Arabidopsis thaliana: one gene and its partner. Each later gene encodes a partner of the first gene's protein in a complex. Each region holds a gene or a part of one and is shown on either strand. Other genes may lie near its edges.

Region 1 (3,926 bases):
TAACGAGGACCAGAAGTGGAATAATATGATTATGTAACTTACTAAACATTTTGGAAAAATATACAATTAAGCAAGAGTTTTGGGTTCTTTACGAAATATTACACAAGAAAGTACCTTTTCTTATAAACACAAGAGAGTAACCATTAGCTAAAATGTACAATTAAACAAACATTGCACAAGTTGTAGAAAAATGTAAAAGCTTCGGATTTAAGCACAGAGAAACGGCAAAACAAGTGAGAGCCAATTTTGCTTCAATAGGAGAAACGTAGTAGTGGCAGTTTTATTTTAAATGTATAAATTGAAACAAAGTGTTTTTCTCTTGAAGCTGAACATAGATGGTTTCACTTTTGTCTCATGTAAATATGGTCATATGGATTTTGCTTTATCCACAAGGTATCACACTTTGAAATAACTAAAATAAAAAATATGAATCAAGAAAATCAATAAGCCGCTACATGTCACTTCCAAAATTATGAAATATGAGATTCGAATCTAAGAGGAGTCTTAAACTGTTAAACAGAGACGTGTTTACAGTCAAGAGAAATTTATAACATGGGACAAATTTTATTTTATTTTATTTAATAGCGTTACAAATTTACAATGATCATATTACATAAGGAGGATACAAAAGTAGAAGAAGAGCTAGTTTAAAAGTCCCAAGAGTCCAACACTGATTCATGACTCATCGTCTCTTCTATTTCTGCGCTTCCACTATACAAATTAGAACCATCGATTATTTTAACCTTTAGTTTTTCCAAATAATCTCTTGAGTTTAATTTAAAAAATAATATTTTCAGGACTATATGTATACCTAAACAGTGACAATGATGTTTCTAAGATTTAAAACACTTTATTACCGAAATATATCTCAAAATTTTACTATTTCAAAACGTTATGTTGCTATTTTATTTTTCACCACATTTTCGAAACATTAGCATACCGTTCAATCATTTGAACATTCCATTGTTAATCTATTATTATTATTACACTAGTCAAACTTACTTCAAATTTATTTATACAAAGGGGAATATATTTTATATAGTTAGTAAAAATCTCAATAATCATTAAAATAGATTTTCTTTGACATATTTCCAAAATTGTTAGATTGTTTGTTTGTTTTTACCTTCTGAAAAATGGTTACCTAATGTACGACGAGGTTTGCCGGGACATCGACGGTAACAATTCTGAAGGCACGTGATCGGAATTCTTCCTGTGGTGGCACAACCTAGAATGCAATCTTCATGGCATTGAGCTTTCGTCTCTCCATTGACATTTTCCATTGCTATAACCATTGTCACCACAAACACCATTATAATCATTGAATTCCATTTAGCACCCATATCTTTAACTTTTTTGTTGTTGCAAGTGTTTCATGTACTTAAGAAATAATGAATAGCTATCCTCTATTTATAATCTTTTCTAATAGTTATCTAATTCTTAGCTCTTATCGTCTCTTCTTCTTATTTGTTATAGGAATTGCTCTTCTTTTTTTTTCCTGGTCAAAGTTTCTTTGTAATAGAGACTAGTTACTTTTTTGGTTAATCTTCTTCTGTTTTTTTCTCTATTTATAATCTTTTCTAATAGTTATGTAATTCTTAGCTCTTATAGTCTCTTCTTCTTATCTGTTACATGGATTCCTTTTTTCTGGTCAAAGTTTCTTTGTAAGAGAGATTACTTACTTTGTTGGTTAATCTTCTTCTGTTTTCTCACAGTTTATTTTAAGTTAATTTGAGATTAAGTTAATTTGAGATTTCATTGGACAAAGAAAATTAACTCTTGAAAGAATAAAAAATTATGTCAGAAGTGGGGTTTGAACCCACACCCTCTTACGAGGACCAAAACTTGAGTCTAAGGCCTTAGAGCATCCACATTGGTCACTTATATGTAGATGTCTTTAAATATAAAACTATAAATAATAATAATAAAAAAATTATGAATGTTTTTAGTTTGAGATTTGTGTTTCTGTAGAGACACTTTAAACACAACAAAAGTGAAATGTCTTTAATTTTATTATTTATTTATACTAAAAACATCTATAAAAAGTTGTCTAATGAGGTTGCTCTTAGACCACTTGACCATCCTAACGGATAACATAACCAATACTAATAGTATCATTATATAACTTACTAAGCATTTTGGAAAAATATATAATTAAACAAGAGTTATGGGTTCTTTACGAAATATTACACAAGAAAGTACCTTTTCTTATAAATACAAGATAGTAACCATTAGATAAAGTAAAAATAAATAAAAAACAGAGAATCTGAAGATCGTAGAAGAAATCGAGAAAACGCTTTGTACCAATTAGAAACCCTAGCGAGCGGAGGAAGGAGACAAAGAACGAGACTTTTGAGAGATTGGAGATTTCAATTTTGAGATCAAATCTTGAAATCAACAAATAGGAGAAAGATTTAGTGATGGGTAAGAAGAAGAAGAGAGCTACAGAGAAGGTGTGGTGTTATTACTGCGATAGAGAGTTTGATGATGAGAAGATTCTTGTGCAGCATCAGAAAGCTAAGCACTTTAAGTGTCATGTCTGTCATAAGAAGCTTTCTACAGCTAGTGGCATGGTGATTCATGTTCTTCAGGTTCATAAAGAGAATGTTACAAAGTATGTGCCTTTTCTTTTTACCCTTTCCCTATGGCTCTTTTTGTTGTGTTAGGTTGATTTGGAATATTAGGGTTGTTGCCTCTATGATCTTTGTTCAAGTTCTGATTTTTTTTTTGCTCTTGTTGTGTGTGATTGTCGTTTGATTTCTGTTAGATTGCGCTAATTGTGACTGTTGTGTTGTGGTTTGAATCGGTTGATTGTGTATGTTTGCTGGAATTTGAATCGTTTTTTTGGATTATCTCTTGAATGGGTTTGGTTAATTTGTATATGTCTGGTCATAAACCCTAATTTCTGATTGCAATTTTTGTAAAGAAACAGTCTTTTGCTTTTGCTTTTGCTTGATAGGTTTTTCTTGGAATTTGTGGTACTGTTCAATGTGTTTGCCTGTTGAATTTGGAATTTGATTCCATGACACTACTAACTTTGAAATTATCTACAATTTTCACACCAGAGTTCCTAATGCTAAAGACGGTCGAGATTCAACTGATATTGAAATATATGGAATGCAAGGAATTCCACCCCATGTCTTGACTGCTCATTATGGAGAAGAAGGTATGCATTTGAGATAGTGAGAGTACTGTTTAGATTATGAGCAATTGATTTAGAGAAGTAAGGCGATAAATTTGTATGTCTCTTCATCAAGTGTTGTAGATCTATTGCATCTAGTGGTCATGAATTCGTTTTGATTTTGCATGCGGCTTTTTGCCTTATCAAAGTTATTATATATTATTGTTATGTTTGCTTGTTTCATATGGTACCTTTTGAACTGAAGTCATGTTTTCTGCAGAGGATGAGCCTCCAGCCAAAGTTGCAAAAGTTGAGATTCCTTCTGCCCCTCTTGGTGGTGTAGTTCCTAGACCATATGGAATGGTATATCCGCCTCAACAAGTACCTGGTGCTGTACCTGCACGACCAATGTATGTACTAATTATACTATACTCTCTCTATGGCCGTTACTTGTTGAATTCTTAGATGTTGTCTCTGTTTTTAAAAATCCGATCCATGCTAAATGATGGGGAACTTTTTTTCTTTTAGTTCTCTTGATGCAAAAGGTTCTTGGTTTCTTTAGTTTGTCTCTGTCCTAGAACTTTTCTACTTTTGTTCTTCTATAAGACCACTATAACACCCGTAGTAAACATTTTTTGAAATAGATCGTTATCTAAGATATTGTTGCACTTAACCAACTATGACCCATAAGGTTCTTAGTTTCCCTAGCTTGTTCTCGTGATTTTTCAGGATAGAACTTTGTCCTAGAACCATTCTTTTGCTCCTCTTCAAGACCACAATAACACCTGTAGTAAACAGTTTTTTGAAA
Region 2 (3,926 bases), on another chromosome or scaffold:
CCTGCCGTCGGTTTATGATTCACACACAAGAAACGAAGAAGCTGATTCATGAACCAAAAACTAGAGATATCTTCATTGCTATACAAGTTTTACAAAAACGAGAGAACAGGTTTTGTAATAGGTTTTGATTTATTGTTTCTTATATGCTTCTTTTATAAGGAACATGTAATTAAGTAAAAAAAAAAGATTTGGTTCAACATAATCCTCAGACCAATTACAATCAAGGATCGCTAAAACATCTGACTTCCATCAAGTTAAAGTTTGGCTACATATAACCACGCCACCACAGTATTCAGATCACTAAAACATCTGATTTCTATCAAGTTAACATCCCGGTAAAGCAGATTTAGGGATGGTGCTTAGCAATGAGAGGTTTCAGCTTCTTCTTGTCAGCAAGAATCTTGAGGAAGTTGAAGAGGAAAGGGACATAGTTGTGTTTCCTTCTCATGTTCTCTTTCTTCCAGTTCTTAGATTTCTCCTCCTCCATTACAATCTTTTGTGAAACAGTCTCTATCCCGATATTGACTTCCGAAAGCTCTCTATCAAGAGCCTCGTAACTGCTTTTCTCAGCGTATTTATCAGCTTGCAAAGCACCTAACTGCTGCAAAACCCTCTCTCGCTTTCTTTGATACTCTTTCAGTTCAGCTACATACATCTCTTTCCTGTTCTTAACTACAGCTAAGAGACTAAACCGAATCTCATTCTGCGAATACCGGTCAATCTGCTCTTGTACCACAGGTTGGACCATTCTGAGCCACTCGATTCCTTCTGGCTCACCCAGACACTGTCCAAGACTAATGGGTCCTTCTTTAAGACCATCGAGCTCATATAAGATACCATCAACAGGTAAGTAGCTGATGTAATGATACACATCATCATCTTCGTCTAGATTTTTCGCAGCAGCTAATTCTTCATCTTCCATGATGGAAGACGGGTCAGGCCTGGCAAATGTGTTGTGAGCTGCACGTATTGCCTCATTGTTGTTGATGGCTAAACCTTTCAGTTCAGGAGGAAATTCTTTGGCGAATTGTTTCAGTTCTGATAGTTCTGAGCCAATATCAATACTCGAAGAGTTCATGAGGACTGATAATATCGCTTGGGTCGCACAAGCATTGTTGATTATCTGCAAGAAACACATAGTTTATAAAAAAGGTAATGATTGGAAAATCCGTGAGTCACAAATCTAATGTGAGAGTAAAAGACCTGGCTTGCAAAGAAGAAATTCGGGTTTGGCTCTGTGATGACAACACGATTCTCCTTTTCTTCTGGACGCCACTTGTAAAGCAATATCAATCCATAGACAGGTCTGCAAATATCAGACAACTCAAGGTAAATTTGACTTTGTTTTTCTTCTGTTTCGAACAATAGAAGATGAAAGAGTAACAAGTAAACTACCTTATTTCATCCAGAGAGTTGAAGTCCAAGGAATACAATTCCTCAACCTGCACACCTTTCACTTGCATTTGTTGTATAATCTCAGTGAAAATACCTAAAAATATAGAATACAGAAAACCAAAAAATATGAAGAAATAACAAACAAGAAAGCGACATTGGTCTTACTCACATATATGGCACAATGGCTATCGAGAGACACTAATCCACTTAGTATAAGACAAACACCATTGTTGATATATAATTTCAAAAAGCATCAATACTTTTATTTTCCAATCCTCACACAGTAAGTATCACCTCTTGTAGATGCAGAGAAGACTATTTTCAACATTTGTTGGCTTCTAATTTGACAAAATCCAAACATAAATCAGATTCTACAGGAAGCCAAGACTATTTTCCAAACATTTTTAGTGCTCCACTATCAAAACCTCGTTACTGACATCATCTCTTTATATATCCAGAAAACAGGAACCCCAAATTGTTAAAGAGAATATATACCAGGATCAGATTCTACAGGAAGCCAAGACATGGTTCAACGATGACTCGCGCCGGTGAAAATGGGTCTGAATTTAGAATTTTCACTCTCAAATTCGCGCTTATCTATCTCCTCCCATCGATTTCATCGTCTTCACGCTAGCTGCAGACTCGAAAGAGAGACTATAGACTGGTGTGGTCTCGATTTTGTCTTAATAGAGGTCGCTCTAAACCGAGTAGAAACGAAATTGAATTCATCCAAACCATTTCAATTTCTATAAATCGAACCAAATCAAGTGAAAAACAATTCGGTTCTGGTTTTATTAAACTTACTCGAACCGAACCGAACCGATAACGTTCTTATATATCCTTGCCGGAGAGAGCCAAAGAAATCTTAGAGATCAAACAATGACGGCGAGTGAGACTATCGCCACCGCGATAAATCAGATTGATGAGAAGAAGGAAAAGCTAAAGAAAGCTTTCGACGATCTTCAAGCTCATCGCTCTCTCCTTTCACCGTCTTTCTCACTTTCCTGGTCTGAGATCGATTCTCACTTTTCCTCTCTCCAATCCTCCCTTGCTAGCCGTTTCCGCCTCCTCCACTCTACATCTCCTTTGGAACATGATTCGTATAGAATCGACGCTTCTGATGCAGGGAAATCGTCGTCTTCGGAGGAGGTATCGGAGCAACCCGTTGTTGAGCCGGAGTTGAGAGCCTTGTGTGAGAAGATTGACGGAATTGGTTTGATTAAGTATTTGATTAGGATATGGGATGATGAAACTCCTCTCAATCAGGAAGTTTCTGCAGCGATTCGTTACTCTCCGGATACGGCGTCCATGGTGCTTGACGCGATTGAAGGTTCGAACTACACACCGTCATCATCGGGAAGATCATTCGATGTAAGGAGAGTTTTCGTTTTGTTAATGGAAGTTTTGATTGAGATCAATGCGAATATCACTGTTGATACGAGAAATAGAGCTAAGAAACTGGCTTACCATTGGAAATCTAAGGTTGGTGTCAAGCCTTTCGAGGCGTTAGTGTTTCTGCATTTGGTCGCAGCTTTTGAATTAGGATCAGAATTTGACACAGAGGAGCTTTCTGATTACGTTTTCATGATCGCTAAGTATAAGCAAGCAACTTTGGTTTGTAACAAGATTGGTGTAGATAGGAAAAGAGTTGGGAAACTCATCAAGACTCTCTTGGATTCTGGTAAACCAATTTTAGCAGTCAAATTCATGTATGAGTGTGGGATGACTGATGAATTTGAGCCAATCCCTGTTTTGAAATCTTACATTAAGGACTGTAGAGAAGCTGCTCTTAGAGTTTGCGTGGAAGATAACTACTCTCTCAAGTCGCAGAACGAAGCCTCTGATAAAGAAGTCAGTGCCTTGAAACCATTGATCAAAATCATCAAAGATCAGAACCTTGAATCAGAGTTTACTCAGGAGAAAGTTGAGGAACGTGTAGAAGAGCTGGAGAAAAATAAGGCATTGAGGAAACGCAACACGACTAATCCTCCCAAGCAAGAGCCACAGCAAAAGGGGAAAAAGCGGACTAGAGACTGCAAAAATGGGTCACAAGTTCCAGTTCCGAGTCAGCAGCTACTTTCTAGACCAGAAGCTCTTCTTATGCCTGAGCATAGTCATCATGGCTTACAGTTGAACCCTTATGGTCTTATGACCTCAGCATTTTCTGGTGTTGTTGTGAACCCATTAACTGGGCTCTTTGGTTCAGGTGCAACTCCTCAATCTCTTTACTATGCTCAGCAAACTGGATATGTGTTGCCGCCTCAATACCACCCGCCTTATTATTCTCAGTAGCTAGCTGCATCTCGACAATAAGATCTTAATCTCCTCAATGTAAAATGTTATCTTTGTAGAATATTTGCCTTGATGGAAAGTAAAAAAATCATTCTAACTCTATGTCTGAGGAATCTCATTCTTTGTTTTTTTGGTTTATATAGAATAGTAGTGAATTTTTCTACAATATTGGATCATGTTTCCTACATTATAGATTCTTCGAAGAATTCGCCTACCCGCCCGTTGGCGTGTCTTCAAAC

The links.
Region 2: SUF4 (region 1) and FRL1 share a complex: the UniProt entries of both Arabidopsis thaliana proteins name them as parts of the transcription activator complex.

What each region holds. Positions count from the first base shown.
Region 1 is NC_003070.9:11,042,085-11,046,010, reverse strand, and holds the start of SUF4 (zinc finger (C2H2 type) family protein), read left to right. Parts: upstream 1-2,237; 5' UTR 2,238-2,417; coding exon 2,418-2,611; coding exon of another isoform or gene 2,612-2,615; intron 2,616-3,062; coding exon 3,063-3,163; intron 3,164-3,398; coding exon 3,399-3,528; intron 3,529-3,926. Other genes in the region: AT1G30972 (Plant thionin family protein), read right to left, coding at 1,101-1,340. UniProt on the Arabidopsis thaliana protein: Sequence-specific DNA binding factor that recognizes the 5'-CCAAATTTTAAGTTT-3' sequence. Recruits the FRI-C complex to the FLC promoter. Required for FRI-mediated FLC activation, but has no effect on the expression of MAF1, MAF2, MAF3, MAF5, UFC and CO.
Region 2 is NC_003076.8:5,342,233-5,346,158, forward strand, and holds FRL1 (FRIGIDA like 1), read left to right. Parts: upstream 1-2,262; 5' UTR 2,263-2,274; coding exon 2,275-3,687; 3' UTR 3,688-3,874; downstream 3,875-3,926. Other genes in the region: UCH1 (Peptidase C12, ubiquitin carboxyl-terminal hydrolase 1), read right to left, coding at 347-1,123, 1,204-1,306, 1,396-1,489, 1,891-1,921. UniProt on the Arabidopsis thaliana protein: Required for FRI-mediated up-regulation of FLC transcripts, but not redundant with FRI and only partially redundant with FRL2. Required for the stabilization of the FRI-C complex.